Linked DNA regions of Struthio camelus. The protein of the gene in region 2 purifies or fractionates together with the protein of the main gene of each other region. This does not show direct contact. Links are inferred from orthologs where the notes say so. Each region holds a gene or a part of one and is shown on either strand. Other genes may lie near its edges.

Evidence for each region.
Region 1: the proteins of HNF1A (region 2) and PCBD2 purify together in Homo sapiens (affinity purification with mass spectrometry; 4 studies listed by BioGRID and IntAct, with this or other methods). This does not show direct contact. The link is inferred for Struthio camelus from reciprocal best matches to the Homo sapiens genes HNF1A and PCBD2.

The regions. Positions count from the first base shown.
Region 1 is NC_090954.1:4,203,246-4,212,396, reverse strand, and holds the start of PCBD2 (pterin-4-alpha-carbinolamine dehydratase 2), read right to left. Parts: upstream 3,826-9,151; 5' UTR 3,753-3,825; coding exon of another isoform or gene 3,750-3,752; intron 3,420-3,749; exon of another isoform or gene 3,117-3,419; intron 2,458-3,116; 5' UTR 2,348-2,457; coding exon 2,255-2,347; intron 1,003-2,254; coding exon 871-1,002; intron 1-870. Other genes in the region: TXNDC15 (thioredoxin domain-containing protein 15), read right to left, coding at 5,721-5,917, 6,580-6,710, 7,265-7,428, 7,923-8,368, 8,498-8,549.
Region 2 is NC_090958.1:8,142,745-8,151,828, reverse strand, and holds the start of HNF1A (hepatocyte nuclear factor 1-alpha), read right to left. Parts: upstream 3,548-9,084; 5' UTR 3,209-3,547; coding exon 2,874-3,208; intron 1,624-2,873; exon of another isoform or gene 1,351-1,623; intron 1-1,350. UniProt on the Homo sapiens protein: Transcriptional activator that regulates the tissue specific expression of multiple genes, especially in pancreatic islet cells and in liver. Binds to the inverted palindrome 5'-GTTAATNATTAAC-3'.

The DNA.
Region 1 (9,151 bases), on a different chromosome or scaffold from region 2:
ATTATTCTTAGTTTTAGTTTTGGGAAATTAACAGGGCATTTTTCTACACAAACTCACAAATTCAGAGCCTTGCAATAAAATAGAGACATTCATTACGGTTAACTCTAGTTCTTGAGACATGACTTTTTCAAGTAGTCTCTTGACTCATCAGAAGTCCAGCTTTCTTGGAAATAAATATTTAACTAACTAGGACGTAGCTGACCGTAAGTCTCGAGAAAACGTCAATATTTTCAAAGCAAGCTTGCAACTGGTTTCCAAGACATGTTCTTGAGAGTTTGTATTATGGCTCAGGGTTCCGACTACAAATATAAACCTAACGAGGCCTAACCAATAATCCACTGTACCAAAGACAGCGCAAGATTAGCTGTTGCAATTCATTCAGAAACGTATCAGAACTCTGCCTTCCTGTTTAGGAGGTGAAGCTTATCATACTTTCCCCCCCTTATTTCCCAAAAGTTTCTATTCTTACATTTACTCATCTTTTTCAAGCTCTTCCCAGACAAAAATGAACCATGCCATCCAACAGCTAAGTATTTCTACCATTAATTCAGGAGTGCTATTAAAAAAACCAACAAGATCAAATATTATTTGTCTAATCCCATAGTACCGACCCCCACCTTGACCCCAATATTACAATTAAGAAACTGTAGTATTACAATAAACCTACCATACAGCTACAGCATTGGAATTATTTACTCCACCTAATGAGATCAGAATCAGAGAACAATCCACATAAGCAAGTCCAACAGTGTTTGGCCTCAAAAGGACGCTCCCAAATTTCTGAATATAGATAGTTTCCCATCAGGATCATATGGAAATTAAAGTACTTACGCTTCCTTTATATTAAAAGTGGTATATAACAATAATTACCTGATTAAAATTTTTGAAATTGAACTCTTTGTAGATGGCATCTCTTTCACCTAACTCAGACCAGCCTGAAGCTTTAAGATCAAGTAAAACTTGGTTCCTTTCCTCTGTTGTCAACCAGTGAGACTGCGAAGACTATTAAGGGGAAAAAGAAGAAAAAAAAAGAAACATTCCACAAGTGAGGCTGAGGTTCTCTTTTATACAACAAGAAGAAAACCACATGTATTGTATTGTTATGTATTGTAGAAATGTAAAAGTTCAAGAAACAAGAGGTGGAAAATTCACTATATGGTTTGTTACTTTTTAGAATTTCACAGATCAGCATAATTCACATTACTCAAAACCACCAAGAAACATCGTTTCTGTTTGGTCCATTAAGTTTGGCTATATGTTTTCACATAGCGTTATAGAGGAGTGATAGACTCTTTTATGAGACCAAACATGGACACCAGCATACTTGTATCCTATACTTTGTTCATCTGATTTATCCAGATGCTATGACACTTGAATTCATTTCCATACATAGCAAAATGCATGTAGTTAAGAGATTGCATATATTATGCACTAAATGTACAATTACATGAGGCTAGAAGAGATATATCAGGGAAATATCTGTATTTTGAAACAGAGAAACAGCATATAAAATGAGATTGTACTACAGGTAACTTGTATTTTACTCTTCCTAAGGAATTAAGAATAGATTTACAAATAGCAAGCATTACAGAAGTCTAAAAGCAATAGAAAGGTTTTTTTCACTGACAAAACAAAAAAAAAATGAATATACAAACACATGCAGTCAGAAGTTGTTGATACAAGCACTTGAGTCTACAAAGCACTTAAACATATGTCCAATTTTCAGCAAAATGAGTCCTTCTAAACCCAATGGGAGCACAGACTTAACGGATTACACTACCTGCTTAAATATCTAAATCGGTGCTTAAAAAAGTAGGCCTGAAGACAGAAAGGTCTACAGGTTATTTGGAAGAGGTTTGATATTTTTCCTAGAAACTGAGATTAAATGTATGAGTGACTAATTACAGACTGTCTATTCTAACAGACTGGTCTCAAATTCACTTTATAAATGCAATAATTTAACAGGAAGAAGTTTTCTCCCCAGTAGAGCAAAATTCAGTTTGCTTTAGCCTTTATAAATATTCGTAGGCTATCACAATTAGGTGAAACCTTACTGAAAGCCGCTGAGCAACTTTGCACCAGGACTTCAAATAACGCGCTGAAGGTCTGCAAGTATCTAAAAGCAAAGCTCTTCCGTTGAAAGTTTTTTTTTTTTTGCTTTTTTTTTTTTTTTTTGGCAGTTACACGCGCAGTTATTTCCTTACAGGAGTGCCAGTCTTTAACCTCCAGCCACTTTCTTGTGCCCTGCACTTACAGACTCATTCGACAGCGCGAAGGCGTACAACGAGCGTTTCCGAGCAGGCAGCGCGATGCGCAGGCAGGTCTGCGGCCGCGGCTTTGCTGCCATCCCTCTGCCACCAGGTGGTGCTGCGTGCCAAACCAGAGCGCAAGCTCCTGCTCCCGGTGCTGGCCGAGGCCAGGCCTTTGAGGCTGCTCTTCACCACCAGGTGTTCGCCCCTGAGAGGACAACAGCAAAGGCGCAGGCATCGCTGAGGAGCGACCTGCCGAGGCCTCGGTGATGTCCAAGAGGCAAAATTTTCACCAGTAATAAGGGACCCAAAAAAAAATAAATAAATAAATAAAAGCAGTCTGAAGTCACTCCAACAGCGTCGCTACAATTGTTCGGGTTCAATAGGATATATATCGCTCTAGCACGTGGGCTTTACAGTCCCCACACCGAACTAATTTAGGACGGCTGCTCTTCAGAATAAAACTCGCGATGTGCAAGAATAAAGAAGCAGCTGTTCACCGGCTAGTTTGCTACGACAACACCTTGTGGGTTTGAATTTCTTTTCGCCTTTTCCCCAGTCACGTGCAAATACTGCCACAGTTAACAGCAGCCCTCACATTTATTATTTTATCCGCCAAGAGGCGAAACGAGTAGGATGATTTACGAAAGCTCTGGGCGGTTTTGGTTTAGACAGCAGAGCCCAGGATTTGGACCAGGAGTCAGTACAAAGTTCGTTCTCCCGGTTGTCAGCAGAGATGTTGTTTGGTTAGTTTTAAACACGCTTCAGTTGCCTTCCTGAGGCCTTATTTCGGCCACAGAAGCCACAGGGACAACGCCGTGACTTCCAGTTAGATCACACGTTCCTTCGCGTAAACGCGAGGACGGAGTCTGACACAGGACCGGGGGCACAGCAAGCACAGCACCTCGGTTAGGCGTAAACCGCGAAGGCCGTGCTCCGCGTTACTCCCTCAAGCGCGTCACAACCACGTTCGGAGATTTCAGCAAACGCAGTAGGAAGTAACGTCAATTAAAAGAAGAAAAAGAAAGTATGAGGTGCCACGTGCGTTTTCAGGGTAACGCCTCCGTAGGGGCCGCGTAACGGAGCATAGCCGACCAGGTCGGGGAGCGCAGCCGGGCGGCAGGGACGGCGGCCGCGGCCCACCGGGCACCCGCCCCACGGCTCCGACGGGTAACGTTCACCTGAAAGGGGCTCGGGGAGCAGAGAACGAAAAAATGAAGTTAGTTGCTGAGAGGTTAGCACAGGATATGGGGCGTTTGAGGGGCAGCGGCCTAAACTGGCATACGCAAGTAGTTATTGCTGGGTGTAAAAAATAACAATAAAAAAGGACAAATTGGAATTTTTCTGCTGAAACGCACAGCTTGCGGGTGGAGGGGGGGGCTCGTTCGCCGAGATAAAGCCCAGCTCAGACGCGGATCCGCCCGGCGCGGCGGCGCCCCCCGCCCCGGAGCCCGGCGCCCCCGCCCCGCCCGCGGCCCCCTCCCGCCCGAGGCGCCTCACCATGGCGGCGCGGCCGCCGCCCGCCGCCGCCGCCCGCCGCGCTCCCAGCAGCGCCCGCCGCAGCCCGGCGCCGCCGCAGCCCGGCATGGCGGCGCCCCCGCCCCGCCCCGCCCCGCCCCGCCCCCGGGCGGAGCCCGCGCCCCCCCCCGCCGCCACCGGCCAGGGCGCAGGCGAGGCGGCGCCTCCGCGAGCGAGCGCGGGTCTCGCCACCCCCGCTCCGGGCCGGTCTGCGGGGCTTCGCTTGCCGCTCGTCCAAGGAAATCCGCTTTCGGTTCCGCAAGGACGGCGCTGAAACAGTCACTTCTCACAGCGGAGGCGGCAGGATTTTCTTTTTAAAGGCCTCACTCGTTCTTTGTAGGTATCGAGGGAGATAAGTGGCGGGGAGAACCCACCCTTGCGCCTCTGAAGCCACAGGGATGCTAAGAGGAAAGAGCTCTCCAGTTCATCCCTCAAAATCTGGAGTCTTACTAAAAAGAACACTTTCTAACTTTATCCTCAATAATATCTAAGTTTTATCAGTGCAGTTGCCATTTAACACACACAAGTAAAGGAACTGACCCTTCCTTCTCTGGAAAGTTATGGAAAACAACAACAAAAGAACTATTTTGTAGGAATAGGAGTCCTCTGTTAAGCAACACAGCTTACCACTGTACTTGTTCCTTCTTGGTTCAATTTCCACTGTAAAGCTTCATACCAGGGTTTTAGAGCAAGCCTGCGCTACACACATAAATGCTATGCCATCAAATAATCAAAAAAAACATGCAATATAGCAGACTGTACCTTCGTCAAGGTCTTCCATATTAGTGACCACTAAAAGCTGGATCAATTCTTTATGTAGTCTCAGCTGCAGACTTTCCAACCAAGCAAACATGTTAGCATAAATGCAAATAAATCTGAAAACTAGTCTCACTAATTCAGGTTGGTGATCCATACTTCAAAAGCTGCGTTTGTAGTCTTGTGAGCAAGCGACTTAAAAGTTAGGCTAAAAACCCAATTCATTAAAGGTAAAGCTCACAAATGCAATTTAATTCCATATGAAAGTGCTATATACGTTATACACCCCCACTCCCACACATATACACAACGGCTTGAGCTTTAGAAGTTATTCTAAATCTCATGAAGAATCACCGTCGCAAGTCCAACTGTTACTCAGAACTCACGGACCAGAGTAAACAAGATAAACAGCATCTAATCTCAATACCAAAGGTGGGAAATAGTCATCCTGACTTGAATCGTACAAGTTTTTAAGTTTTTATTATTGCTGGTATGACCGCCTCCAGAAGCGCAAAGCAAATACATACTGTCTTTTTAGACAATGAAATCATTCAACGTACGCTCATTTTTAAAGCACCTTTTTCTTCATTTTCCCGACAATCAAACTAATTTAGTACCACCACCCTGGACTAACGTATCCCTTAACACTTTACTATTTCAGGGATACCTAAGCCAGAAAATGAGTATGATCTGCGTGGGTCAACACATCCCAACTCCATTGTATATACTGCGTCATCCATACAGAAATTGTGGGTTTTACAAAAGAAGATTCCCAGATTCCATCTGAATGGAAGCAGCTCTACTCCTCTGCCAAGCAATGCCACATATACAAGCAAATACGCTGTAGAACTCTTAATTGATCTACAAAGCACAGGGACCTCTCTTAAGAGCAAAGTAGAACTGTATCACATTTACATTAAGGTACATTAAAAATAAGCAAATTAGCAGTGTAATAAATACATTTTTAGTTAATATCTTTTCATATTTGTTTACTTACCATGTTAACCATCATGTGTTTGCCTTTTACAAATTCAGTAGTTGATAAAAAAGCAGATTTTCAGTCAAGATTATAAATTACAACCAACAAATTCAACAGTTCATTTGAATATGAATATTTGAACATTCATACTTTTAGTCCATACAAATTCCTGCTTTACAAATAAGCAAGAAATCCTGTCCCTGTTTCAGCATCTCAAATTATTCTTGATGTTCATGCTCTTGTCCTGGGATTAGCCACCGAATGCTCTCAGTTCGAATAGTAGCGTACATAATAAAGCTAGCCAGAAAGAGCAAAGAGAACAGGAGCAGCCAATCTATTCCTTTTGTCAGAACACTAGGCAGAGGGCCTTCCCAGTCTTCCTCAGTCACAGCCACATCCCTTTTAGCTTCTATTCCTGAAAAGAGAATCACTTAATCAACATCAATAATAATTACTTAATACAAATAAGTTGGAACTTTTTCCTGTTCTCAAATTAAGGTGCATGCACAGCTAGACTTAGAATTTTGGTGAGATAGTCCTTATATTTTAAGGTGTCTACCATATAGTTTACTCATGTGGAATTAAAAGCCTATCAACGTATACGTGTATTTTCTTAACACTGTGATACTGGAAAAGGTTCATTCTGTTCTTCCGCAGCACAAGCTCTTTTAAGGAGGTGAGGGGAAGGGGTTGGTATTTTTGCTACATTAGCAAATATAACAATTCCTGGCCTCTAATGAAGGCCGTCATTGGCCCAGATACTTCCCCCCCCCCCCCCCCAGGAGAATACACCACAGAAAGCCCAGAAAGCTGTCTGACTGTGAGCTCACAGTGAGGACAGACAGATCATCCTTTTGTCTCCTCCAGCAGTGTGTTGAGTGTCTGCTTTTAGCATGCCCTGAAATCCAACTCACTAAAGCAAGCGATTAAATGAACCTCTGCTGCAGGTGGTCCCCTCAGGGCCTTCACGAAACTTATTTAAAATAAGAAAGAATAGGGAGAGAAAAGCTCAGTTTGGAGCTAAGAGGTAATCCTGTTCTTTCTATTCCTGTTCTTCATCAGAGCTGACTTACATACCTGTTTGATTAAAAATGAAGTCTTTCAGTGTTTCCAGTGTTCTCTCCGTATGATTAAATCTAGCCATAGGTTTAGCACCTTGGAAAAGGAGGATATTGGGTACAGCCACAGTTCCAAATCTAGTTGATAAACTGATGGACACAAAGCAAACATAAGATATGAGGGAAAATAAATCCACTGAAGAAAGAAATAAGAGATCACAATAAAGGCAATAACAATTTTATTATTATAATTTGTCACTTTATAACAAACAACATACAACCACCTTCTTGTGGTATTAGGGAAACGCTTTACTGCTGAATTAGTCAACAACGCAAGATTTAGCACTGGATCAGCATGTCATTTCACCATAAACACATGTATTGTATGGGTCTTAGCCTTGTTATTTGAGGATATACTGGAGTGTGGAGGATACGTAACACTCTTCTGACTAATGAAGTCCCAAAATGAATTAGCAGAACACAGTTATCAATTTAATTATACCTACTGAGATAGTAATATGTTTCTTGCACGTTTACGGTAAAATTGTCAAGTGCTAAAAACATGCTAACAGCACAGCCAAAAATAAAATAGGCAAATAACCATTTATATTAAACAGCTTCAGAAAAAAATCACTCCTGTTTTTAAAATTCAAAACTTGCTATTGGAAATAAACTGAGAAGAGAGCATAGAAAGCCTGAATTACCTGCTATGCTGAGATGCATCCAAGGCTAGGAAGCGAAGAGTTGGAAATGCTCGAGGTAAGGAATTAAAATGAGGTGCTAGACTGGCAGAGAAGCGGCACCACGGTGTGTAGAACAACACTAACGTACAGTCACTGCTGTTTGGGTTTAAGAACTCCATCAGATCCTTAGAGAAAGCAGAACAAACACAGACACAAACAATTAAACATTTAAGAGTTCTTGCACAACAGAAGGGATCATTCAGCAAGCAGTTAGAGTTGACAGCATTTCTCAAGTAGCTGCATACTTAATGCTTTTTTAAAATTAAAATTCTCTCCGTTATAAGAAATAAAACGGAAGTAGACACTATCACTAGGAATAAGCGTCGTTAATAACTTCAGAGAGACACCAACCTGCCCACCGTGCAAGCTGACAATTCACTACGGGCACACACGTGGCAGACACACGCACAGGCATGCGGACTGAGCTGCACCTCCAATATTTCTGTTCAGAAAGACTGAAAAGCCTTCTTGCTCAGACAATCATTAAACGCACAGAACTTCACACAAAGCAATTCAGTAAGTCGAAGCGCAAAAGACACCTACGCAGCGCACGGACATCGCATCTTTCACCACCGCCGCTCAAAGCGGCACGAAGCGGGGCACCGAGCGGCTTGCTTACTTGAGAAACGTTCAGGATTTGCAGCGTGAAGTTTTCCACGCCGGTGACGTTTCTCTCCTCGCAGTTCACTTTGGGCGTTTTCGCGCCCTCGGTGCCGTTGGGCTCCTCGGCCGGCGCGGGCAGCACAGTCTCCAGCACGACCGGGGAGCCCGCCGCCAGCTCGCGGCCCTGGGCGCCAGGCTGAGCCGAGGGGGCCGCGGGGCCGCCGCACTCCCCACCGCCGGCCGCAGCCTCGCAAGCGCCGCTGGCCGCGGCGGGAGCGGGCCCGTCCCTCGGCTCCGCCGGGAGCACCGAGAGCAGCCCGGGCTGCTCGGCGGGAAGCCCGCTGCCCAGCATCGCGTCGGCCATCTCCGCCGTCCGGTACTGCGCCGGCCGGCCGCCCCCCGGCGGCGAGCCTCCCTCGGCGTGGCGCGGCGGAGAGCGGCCGCCCGGCTCCGCCGCGCCTCCTGCGGCGGGAGAGAGGCGTCAGAGACGGAGCCGGGCAGGCCACGGCCGCCGCTTCCACCTCCCAGCAGCAGGAGCGGGACCGGGATCGGCCCCGAACCGCTGCCCACCGCCCCCCGCTCCGGCCTCACCTACAGGGACGGCGCCGCTCAGCCAGGCCAGCGTCAGCGCCAGCCGCCACATCCCCGCCGCGCCGCGGCCCTCCCGGCGCCCGGCCGCGCTGCGTCTCCCCGGACAACGGCCGCTTCCGCCTCAGCGCCGCCGCTGCCGCCGCTTCCGGCGCACGACGGCCGCGCGCAGCGCAGCGCAGCGCCGCGGCGGGGCGGGGCGGGGCTGGCGCCGGCGCCATCTTGTCGGGGCGGGGCTGGCGCCATCTTGTCGGGGCGGGGCGGCCGCGGCCGCGGCGCGGAGACGCCCGGGGTGGTTTTTTTTTTTTTTTTCTCCCCTCCTCTCGCCCAGGGAAGTAATTCTTTAAGTTTGCTTATCAGGAAAGTTACTTGGGCCTGACAGTTGCTCTTCTTCCTCCTGCAGCTCACGGTGTTTTCACGTCTTGCCGCAGGGCGGGCCGCGCTAGGCGATGGGGAGGCGACCCGAGTAACGAGGCCGAAGGGATGTTATCGCCCGCAATCGCTTCAGGCTTCAAAAAGGCCAAATATCAAAAGTGCCCCATGGGTAAACTAGTCATTCCGGCGTGAGGAAAGGGAAGCCAGCTAGAGGTTAGACAGGAAAATAAAAAGCAGCATTCAGAGAGAGTTCAGCTCAAGTCCCATTCACTACAAATACTA
Region 2 (9,084 bases):
ATGGACACTTCTCATGCTACTTTACTATATGAGCAATGGCTGCAGCTACCCACAAAGACTTTCTTGTGTCACCAATAGCTGCCCAAAGTCAATCCCTCTCCTAAAATGTGGTCTACAGTATTAGTCCAGGACTTTTTAATAGTGCCCAGCAATGCTTCTGCTTAGAGGTAAAAGTGCCTCCATCTGGTTTCTCAAAGACTTGAAATGCTTGTGTAGATGCTGAAACAGCTTTGCAAGCATTGAAGTTGTGCTTGGAGATCATTTTTTTTTTGCCTTCCTTCCTTTCATCTGCTGCTGGGAGTAATTTCTGTTAAAGACTGTTCTCCCGTATCTACGCTTATTTGTAACACTATTTTAAGGACGTTACCTTTAGGTGTTTGTTAATGGAAAGGTTTGTTCTTACAAAAAACAAAAAAAACCCAGTATGTATTAGTTGGTAGCTACTGTTTATGTACCATCAGACCCTGGTATTGACATGCTTTGAATATACTTCCCAGATATACAGTTGATTTTTTTTTAAGTCTTTGACCAGAAATATGAAGACTGTCAATATGGGCTTCCTACTCTCTCCATTCCACCTCAAATAGTTTTGGTCCATTATATCCCCCCATAAGGACACTTGTAACTGGGTGGCTTCTGGTTCCCTTTATACTGCCCTGAACAGCAGAAGTGAACTGATGTATCCTGTGACATTGAGGACTGAAGAAAGCAAGCCCTGAGGTTTCAGAACAAAGTGTTGCAGTTAAGACCCAGTACAAGGCTTAAGAGATCCTGGCTCTTGCCCAATCCTCTCGCCACTGTCCTAGGGGTCTTTAGATGAGTCAGAGAATCTGTACCTCAGTTCCCATTTCTGTAAAATGGGAATGCTGCTCAGTTGGCCATCTAGAAGGGAGACCATTGATTGGAAAGCATAAATAATACTGCAGGCACGCAAGGTAGGTAAGAGTGTTGTGCTGAGACTGGTAGGAAGCACAGGAGAGGCTGGTAGCCAGCTCCTGGAAAGGCAGGGAGGATCAGAAACTGGAATTCATGGTGAAGCGAGGGTGGCAGGAAGGAGCCCCTTCTGTCTGTGAGTCTGCTCTCAGATTACGGCAGGCGGCCCTTCAGCCCTGCTGCACCCATTCATTACAGAGTGGGACAAAGCCGGGTGCTCCTCTTCCACCTACATGGCTGCCTTTCTGGAGAGATACCTGATAAACCATCAGAAGTTAATGATCAAAAAGCTTATCAGGGTCTTTTCATCTATAAATTTATAAGACAAAAGAGAAATAATAAAGCCATTGGATAATTAGTAACTAGCCAGGGCCCGCCCGGTGCCACTGGGCTCAAACTACCCCAAGACCTGTACGCAGACTCAGGGAGAAGAGAAGGAGACAAGGATGAGGGGAAGGAAAAGAGTGAGGAAGGATGTGAGAGAGAATTAGCCAGGAAGACATCAAAATGGGAGGACTAGTGGCAGAGACAAAAGTGAGGAGAAAAAGGGAACAGGTAAAGAGAATGGGAGAGCAACAGTACGGGGAAGAGGAGATGTAGCAGAGCTGGGGGGGGGGGGGGGAAGAAAAGAGAGGCAGACTTTTGGGGCCAAAAAGAAGATTGAATTATTGGGAATGTTTCCCCTCCCAGGTAAGAGCTGATCCTGTGAATTTTCTTCCATTGAGAACTGCATAGACATCAGCTCCCAGCTGCTCTTCTCTTAAATATTTACAGCGAATGTTAACGCCTGTCATGCTGTTTTTCTAGCTCTGGCCTTTTGTAGTGGGATTTGATGTTTGCCTCTTATTGTTGCACTTTGTTAATTCCCTTTAACCGTGAAGAGGATTAATCAGAAGGCCCAACAAATTCTCTAACTGGATTTTAGTTTTAGTGAAGATTTGAAATGCAGGACGGTGCTGCATCTCGTGTCTCCCAACAGCTTGTGGTTTCAGAGTACCTCCAAAACGGAGGGGCAGTATTCTGCTGCTGTTGGGCTAGATGGCTTTGAAGGACCTGATCCTCGCCTGGACAAACCTCTGAGGGTGGTTATTAGGGCTTGCACCCCAGTAAGAATCCCAAACGTGAGTCCTGGTGAATGTTTCTCTGGGCCTGTCATGAGACTCGCTGGTTTAGGGGATTCTTCCTGTCTTTTGACTTAATGCTTGCATGCAAAGGCAAATTTCTGTGGCAGTAAAACCTGTAACTGTTCCTATGTGTGCTCTGTAGTTACGGCAGACGGCGGAGGGTAGGAGCATAGCGAGTTCTTTCTAACCTCTGCGTATATTTGGTTTCTGCTCTTTCTACAAGAAAAATCCCCAGTGAAGTCAGGAGAATTTCGCACATGCACGAAAGACAGGAACAAGCTCTCTTGGTTTATCTTTGACAAATAACATCTATAGGAAAAGCCAGTAAAAAAAATTTTAACCTCCTTAAAAATAGCAGGAAAAACTAAAACTCTCTACCATAATTTCTAAGACTACTGCGAGGCCAGTTAACAGAGACCAGATTTTTATGGGCTGCTTTTATTTTTATTTTTTTCTCCCTTGATGACAGAATCTGTGACTCCTATAAAAATTAACGTTTAGTCAGAGAGATGCAGGGTGTCCAGGCCTCGGAGTGCTCTGACGCCCGTTTCCTGATGATACGAGCACTTCTAATGTGCAATCAGGCTCCATAGCTCCCTTTACGCATTGGAAGTGTGATCAAAAGACAAGTTTGAGCATCTGCAAAGAATTTGGGGGGCTGCTAGTCCTGGCATGGATGAAGACAGTCTCTGTGCGGTTAGATCAGCTGTGAATACCAGGGACGCTGGTAGGAAGAAAGGAAGGGGAAAGGAAAGAGATTTGGAGGGAGAGAATACAAGAAAGAGCAGCAAAGAGGAGCAGCAAACGTGTCCTTACTGTAATAGTCTCTCCACCACAGCCTTCTGGTGAGCAGCCTCCTCAGGGCTCAGGTTCTCCAGCTCCTTCATTATCGGAGGGGTAAATTCCTCCCCATCATCAGAGGTTTCATCTTCCGATAACCTGGCCTCCCCCAGGCCGTTGGGGAGAGCGGGGATTTCGGGGCACGAGTCCCCTTTCTCTGTCTGGAGGGCATGGATGGCGCGCTGGCTCTCGCTCTGGAGGACGTAGGGCTCCGCTTCGCTCAGCGCCTTGATCAAGGTCTCCTTGGTCAGCCCCGACTCCAGCAGCGCTCCTAGCAGCTCCACTTGAAGGTGACTCAGCTTCGAGACCATGGTCTTCAGCCTCGTGCCTCTTGGGTTTGAATTTCAGCTTATCCTGCCTCCAGCTTCCCTACACCATGTTCCCGAGGTAACGCGCCTGACTGTCGGCAGAGTGGGCACAGCGCAGCCTCCCGCCTTTACGCCCCCCCCCCCCAAAAAAACAAAATACAAAATTGAGCCACTTCAGACCCCCCACGACTGTCCTGAGCCGGTGCTGATAAAGGGACCCTTGGCTATCTGTTTACATTGGAGCAATGTAAATTCTCCAAGGTTCATATTTATCTGTGTGCTTAGCAAGTTACTGAACTTTGGACTTCAGCACGGCAGCAGCAGTTCACAAAGTGCAGAGGGAGAGAAAGCAGGGGGAGGGGGAAAGGGAGGGAAGGAGAGGAAAACGGAGGGGTAGAAGGTCTGCCAGCATGGAAAAGAAAAAGATACGGAAAGAAAAGTAGGGAAATGAAAACGGGGAAAAAACATGGCTCATTTCTGGCCCCATTAGTTTTGGAGAAGGAAGGAGGCGGAGTAGCCAAAAGCAAGGGGTGGGTTTGGCGGTGCCTGTGCAGGAGAAGGTGCTGCTGGTGGGAGGTTGTGGAGCCCACGCAGAGCTCCAGCAGCAGAGAGGTTCAACCAGCCCCTGCCAAGGCGTTGGCCCTGGGAGACGGCTGCGTCGGCAGCCTCGCTCGCCTTTGCCCACCCCCCCGGCCGACCAGTGCAACTGCTGGGTTTACAGGGAAGTTCCCAAGACTCACGGCGTGTTGTGGAGCTCCAGCTGACTTCTACGGCACAGCATTGAGTGTTAAATGACTTTTTCACTTCTGGCTTTGGCTTGCTGGAGTACCTTGATATGCAAATACTGGTACCTCCTTTATAACTTGCTGTATGTATTGTTTAATTGATGAGCGTACCCACATAATTTGGGGGATTACATGACTTGCCCCGTTGAGCTGATGATTCAAGCACACGATAAGGAGCAGCCCTGGGTGTTGGTTCACACCGAAAGTCCCTGCCCTATCTCCGATTGCTCTGCTTCTCTGGAGAAGTGCCCTGGACAGGCTGGTGGTTCCCGTTTAGCATCTACCTCCATCCCCTCTTGATGCCGGCTGTGCTTTCTGGTTCTACCCCCCACCTTTTGGGTGACTTTCTAAAACACCCTAGCCAGCTTGGCTGGCGTTGCTTGGAGTTGTCGGGAGGCCGCGATGACTGGTGGTCTTTTCTCATCTGCAAATATATGAATGCATCTGTTTACTTCAAGGGGCTAGGGAATAACTTAGTATGCAAGTGTGGGCTTGATGGTGTGTAAGGGTCTCGTGTGAATGATTTCTTCTTGTGTGATCGATGGGAGAAGGGTTTAAAACTGTTGTTTTAACAGAGGTTTCCTAGGAGCAACTACTGGTCTACTTTTATATACTGCCATCAGGCCCAAGCTAAGAGGAGCTTAGCCATCCCCATAGGATGGCCCCAGACTGAGCACTGGCCAAGACGCTGCTGCAGAGCGACCTTGGCCGGTTTTCCCTTCGCGGGCAGCGGGAGCCGTGCTCGCCAGGCTCAGCACGGAGGGGCTGAGCTCCTTGGCAGGTTGGCGCCCTCCTCCCTGCAGTCGCAGCAAGCTGCTGCTGGGCTGACCCCGCAGCCAGGACTGCTGCTAACTGTTGGCCTTCGTTTCAGAGGCGTCTGCCCCCCGAGTGCCAGCTCCCCTCACTGCTGGAAGCTGAAAAGGCTCAGACGGGGCTCCAGCAGACTCCCTCCGTCTGCCTAAAAAGGAGTACCAATTCAGAGTCCGTGTGAAAATATTTAATGTAAAATAAGATCTTTAGTTTCTAAATACTTCACTATGTTCATAGCAGGTTTAGTAAAGAGCATTTAAAAATGTTCAGCTTTTTTGGCATTGTCCTAGCAATATTTGGATACAATTTCTGTACATTTTATTTTTGATTACAATTTTCCTCATCCCGCCCCCCCCCTCTCCCCCCAGTAGACAGTCTAACAGTGCTGGCTGGTAACAGTAATTACCAATTGTAATGACAGTACCCAACCATGATGTATGGTTTCAGCATGATGCATCCTTGTAATTCAAGGATTTTGCATGCAGAGACAACAGATTGTGAGCTCGCTGCAATATGTGGCAGGGAAGATGCTGCCATGTCTTGTTACTTACTTCTGCCTTTGTGCACAGTGATTTTGTTTACCTAAACTAGAGGGGATGGAAAATGCTAACATTGTTTTTATTTATAGACTGTCCAGTCTATTTTCTGTGAATATATACTTCTGTTGCACACTTGCAGGAAAAAAATCCTGAAGTTTAGACAAAGAACAGCAGTATTTGTTGGGGAAACTGTAAAGAAGGAAAAAAAATATATCAAGAAATTATCTGTATTTATCATGTGGTTTTAAGGATTCCTCGTGTACCAGAAGCCCCTTCCCTCTTGGTTCTGCTTGCCCCGGAGGCCTTCAGCTGCTGAAGCTTTTAAAACAGCCTCTCTTGAAACCAATGAACTTCAAAGGCTATAAAACCAAAAATGAACATCTGCCTGTTTGTTAGGACCTACAGGATGCTACAACTGGATACCACATGAGGAATCCTGCGTTTAACGTGGAAACCTTTCAAATACTGAGGAAGAGGTAAATTTCTCCATCACTCTATCCTTGAAGGTCTTTTTCCCTTGATCTATTGGAGTTGCCCATTTTAAACTCCAAGAGCCTGGACAACCAAGGAAGAGGTAAAAACTTTCCTTAAAAATGTCTACACTGTCATTTTTACATTCACTGTAACCTGCCAAACCAGATATGCTAGCAAATGATTCAGCACTCCATCAAGGATCTAATTCAGATTCTTCAGTGCAAGGAAACCAGTGAGCTTTTCAGTGTTTCTCAGATGTTACAAATTGCTAAACTGTCAGAATGAACAAGTGGGAGGTAGGACGGAAACTGTTGCTATGGGTTAACCAGCACCCCTTTTCTATATATTGACACTGAGGACTGCAAGCTCGGGTTTCTCAGATTATTACAACTGCCACAATATCCTGCTGAGAGGTAATAAGGATAGCAGAGGTCAAGAGTGGAAGCTGCAAAGCTTTAACCAGCTAGATTATAGTTCTAGTAGTAGAGCAAGAGCTAAATTGTAGAGTACCATAATCCAAACAATATATTCCTATATCTAAATTGTGCCTCATGGATTTTGCCTTGAGAAGGAATAGTTGAAAGAAAAGGATTTGGCTTTGCTATACCCATTTGCATTCTATATCAGTTGATTTTGTTGTTTTTTGTACTTGCTTTGTTGATTTTCTTACTTGCAAAAATTTACTGGGGCATATCTTGATTCTCGAGTCACCCGGAATAACATGATGCTGGTAACTGTAAGGGAGAGGTAGTTTTTGAAGTATGAAGGCCCCGAGTGATACCTGCCTTTTCTCATGTTTGTCTGCAGTATCTGGTTTTGTATTATTTTTTCCTCCTGCAAACTTATTTTTCATTAAGCATAACTAATATGGTGGTCGAGATCCTTCAAACAATACTTCAGTAACAAGACACGAGCAGCTTTACAACAATAAACTGGTAAGCTTAATAGAAAGCTCAAGAAAAATGTTATATTAACAGAATGGTCTGGATGCCGATTGGAGAAATCTATCGGTTAGTAATCATAATCACACCTGAGGATTCTGAGCTCTGTAGGTTTTTTATTTTAATGGCATGCTTAATAAAGATTCTTTAAACATGTTCAAATAATCTGCATTGTCCTACCTACGCTTTAATACATTGTCTGTTTGTTTTATTTTTATAAGTTTCTTCCCTTCAAGTAGTAGGCGGTCTGGTAACACTGTGTGACAGCTGCATCACAGAACGGGGTTGCTGGCATTCTCCAATAGGCTTCCAGGCAAGGACGGCTTCTCTTCCTGTTTCATTCTACTTCATTGATAAATAATAGTCTGCCTTGATAAACTGTTCCAATGGATTGCCTTCTCCCAAGAACATGTAATAAGGTAGTTGAACTGTGGATTAATAAATAATGAGGACTACTCCATGAAAGTATAAATGGGTATATAATAGGAACTTTATTCTTATTTTAGACCTATTGGTCTGCATTCTGCTTATTACAGGAAAGCCAAACCAAGTGAAATAGTTGCGCAGCAGAGTAACGTGAACAGAAGTGCAGGTGGATTAGAGGTTCCCAGAGCCTGACTCTTGTATCAATACAATTGTTATCTTCAGTGTTTTAATTTGTTAAATTATATCCACCATCAAGTATACACAGTGAAAAATACAGTGATTGACTGGGATAAAGCCTAATGCCATGACCTCAAGGAGCATGCAGAGAAAGAAAAAAACTAAATATTTTTATAGTAAAATTGCTAGCAGAGGGAGCCTGTATAGTTCCATGAATACAGTGATAAAACTGCCATTGGCCAAAGAAGTATTTAGAAGTGGTTCCTTTAATAATTCTTTGCCATTTTATGGTTCCTCCAGCTGAGACTGCCAAATGCTTTATTGGCCTGAAAGACATTACTATCATCCCCTCCTTGAAATGTGAGAATTATTGTTATCGTTGTGTTCATCCCTATTTCTGTGATTGAGGAAAAGAAAGCTACACAAGTGCCAAAACCGATTATTATTTGTGCCCTGGGAGCTTGGCCCCAAGTGGCATGCAGGAGAGTGAAAAATCCCAGATAATTGTCATTGGTATGTTGTTTTCATAGGGTTGGATTTCAGCTGTTTGTGTGAACCTCGAGTATCGCAGCAGGGAAGGACTCCCTTGAATATGTGATTCGACTACTCCTAATACATACCCATTTAACACTTTCATGTAGTAGTCCTTGTTGTAAATACGTGATTATAATAGTAAATATGTCTTTACAGAGGAGCAAAGCATTTTTAGTTGGTAGCCTTCTCCCGTTCTCAACAGAATAACCAACCTTAGGACTATCGAAAGAGAGGCAAGAAGAGAGCAAGGCTATCTTTTGATTTAGATGCTAGAGCACCTTCCCAACTTGGCACCCTGCAAAGAGCAGTAAGGAGAGTTGCATCCAGAAGAACAAACGTTTCACATGCTCATCTGCGCAGAGGGCACTTTGCAAGTCTCCCCAGGGAATGGGGCTAAGGCCTAACAAACATTAGGGACTGCACTGGCTGCAGCTTAGGGGGACAAATTATAGGCTGTAATCTCTAGGTATTACCAATATTATCTCTGCACTCTTCCTCTATGGGAAGCAGGACTCTGTCCTCCTCATTCATCCATCTGTCCCTCCTTCGCTTACTCTCCGTCACCAGGGTGAGGATGAGGCTGGAGAGCGAGGGCAGTGCTGGAGCTCGGGTAATGAAGGAGTTTCCCACTAGGTGGTGGTGAAGAGAATCGTGTGACACGTACCGGTCAGCACATGCTTTCTTTTTAGCAAGGGGAATCCTACTAGGATCTTACAAGCAGAACAGCCGAGCGCAGCTCTGAGCTGCACTGCCAAACTGAATCTCTGACTTCTGCCGTCCCCTTCTGCTCGTTTCCATGCTACGTGTTCCTCCCAAACCCAAGCAGGGTTGACAACTCTACCTGTCATGTCCCTTCCCAAAAGGTGCAGTCTCCGCATGAAGCTGCTGCGGTTCTTTCCATCGGCCTGCTTGATGAATCAAGACATGGTTAGCTAAAACGTCCTCTAATGACATTTAAGCTCTTCAGAGGTGAGGGCTTTTTGTAGCGAGTGCTTTTGTCTGATTCTCCGCCACCACGCTTGCCTCCCTGTGCTCTGGGAGTTACGCTGCCAAGTAGGGGGGAAAAAAACCAACAACTTATTTTTGTTTGCTGCTTGTGCTGAAATACCTTTGTAAGTCTAGGTAGTGCATCAGTCTACATCAAAGGCACCAGACAGAGCAAGTACTTTGAAAGGACTTTGTAACGTCAAGAG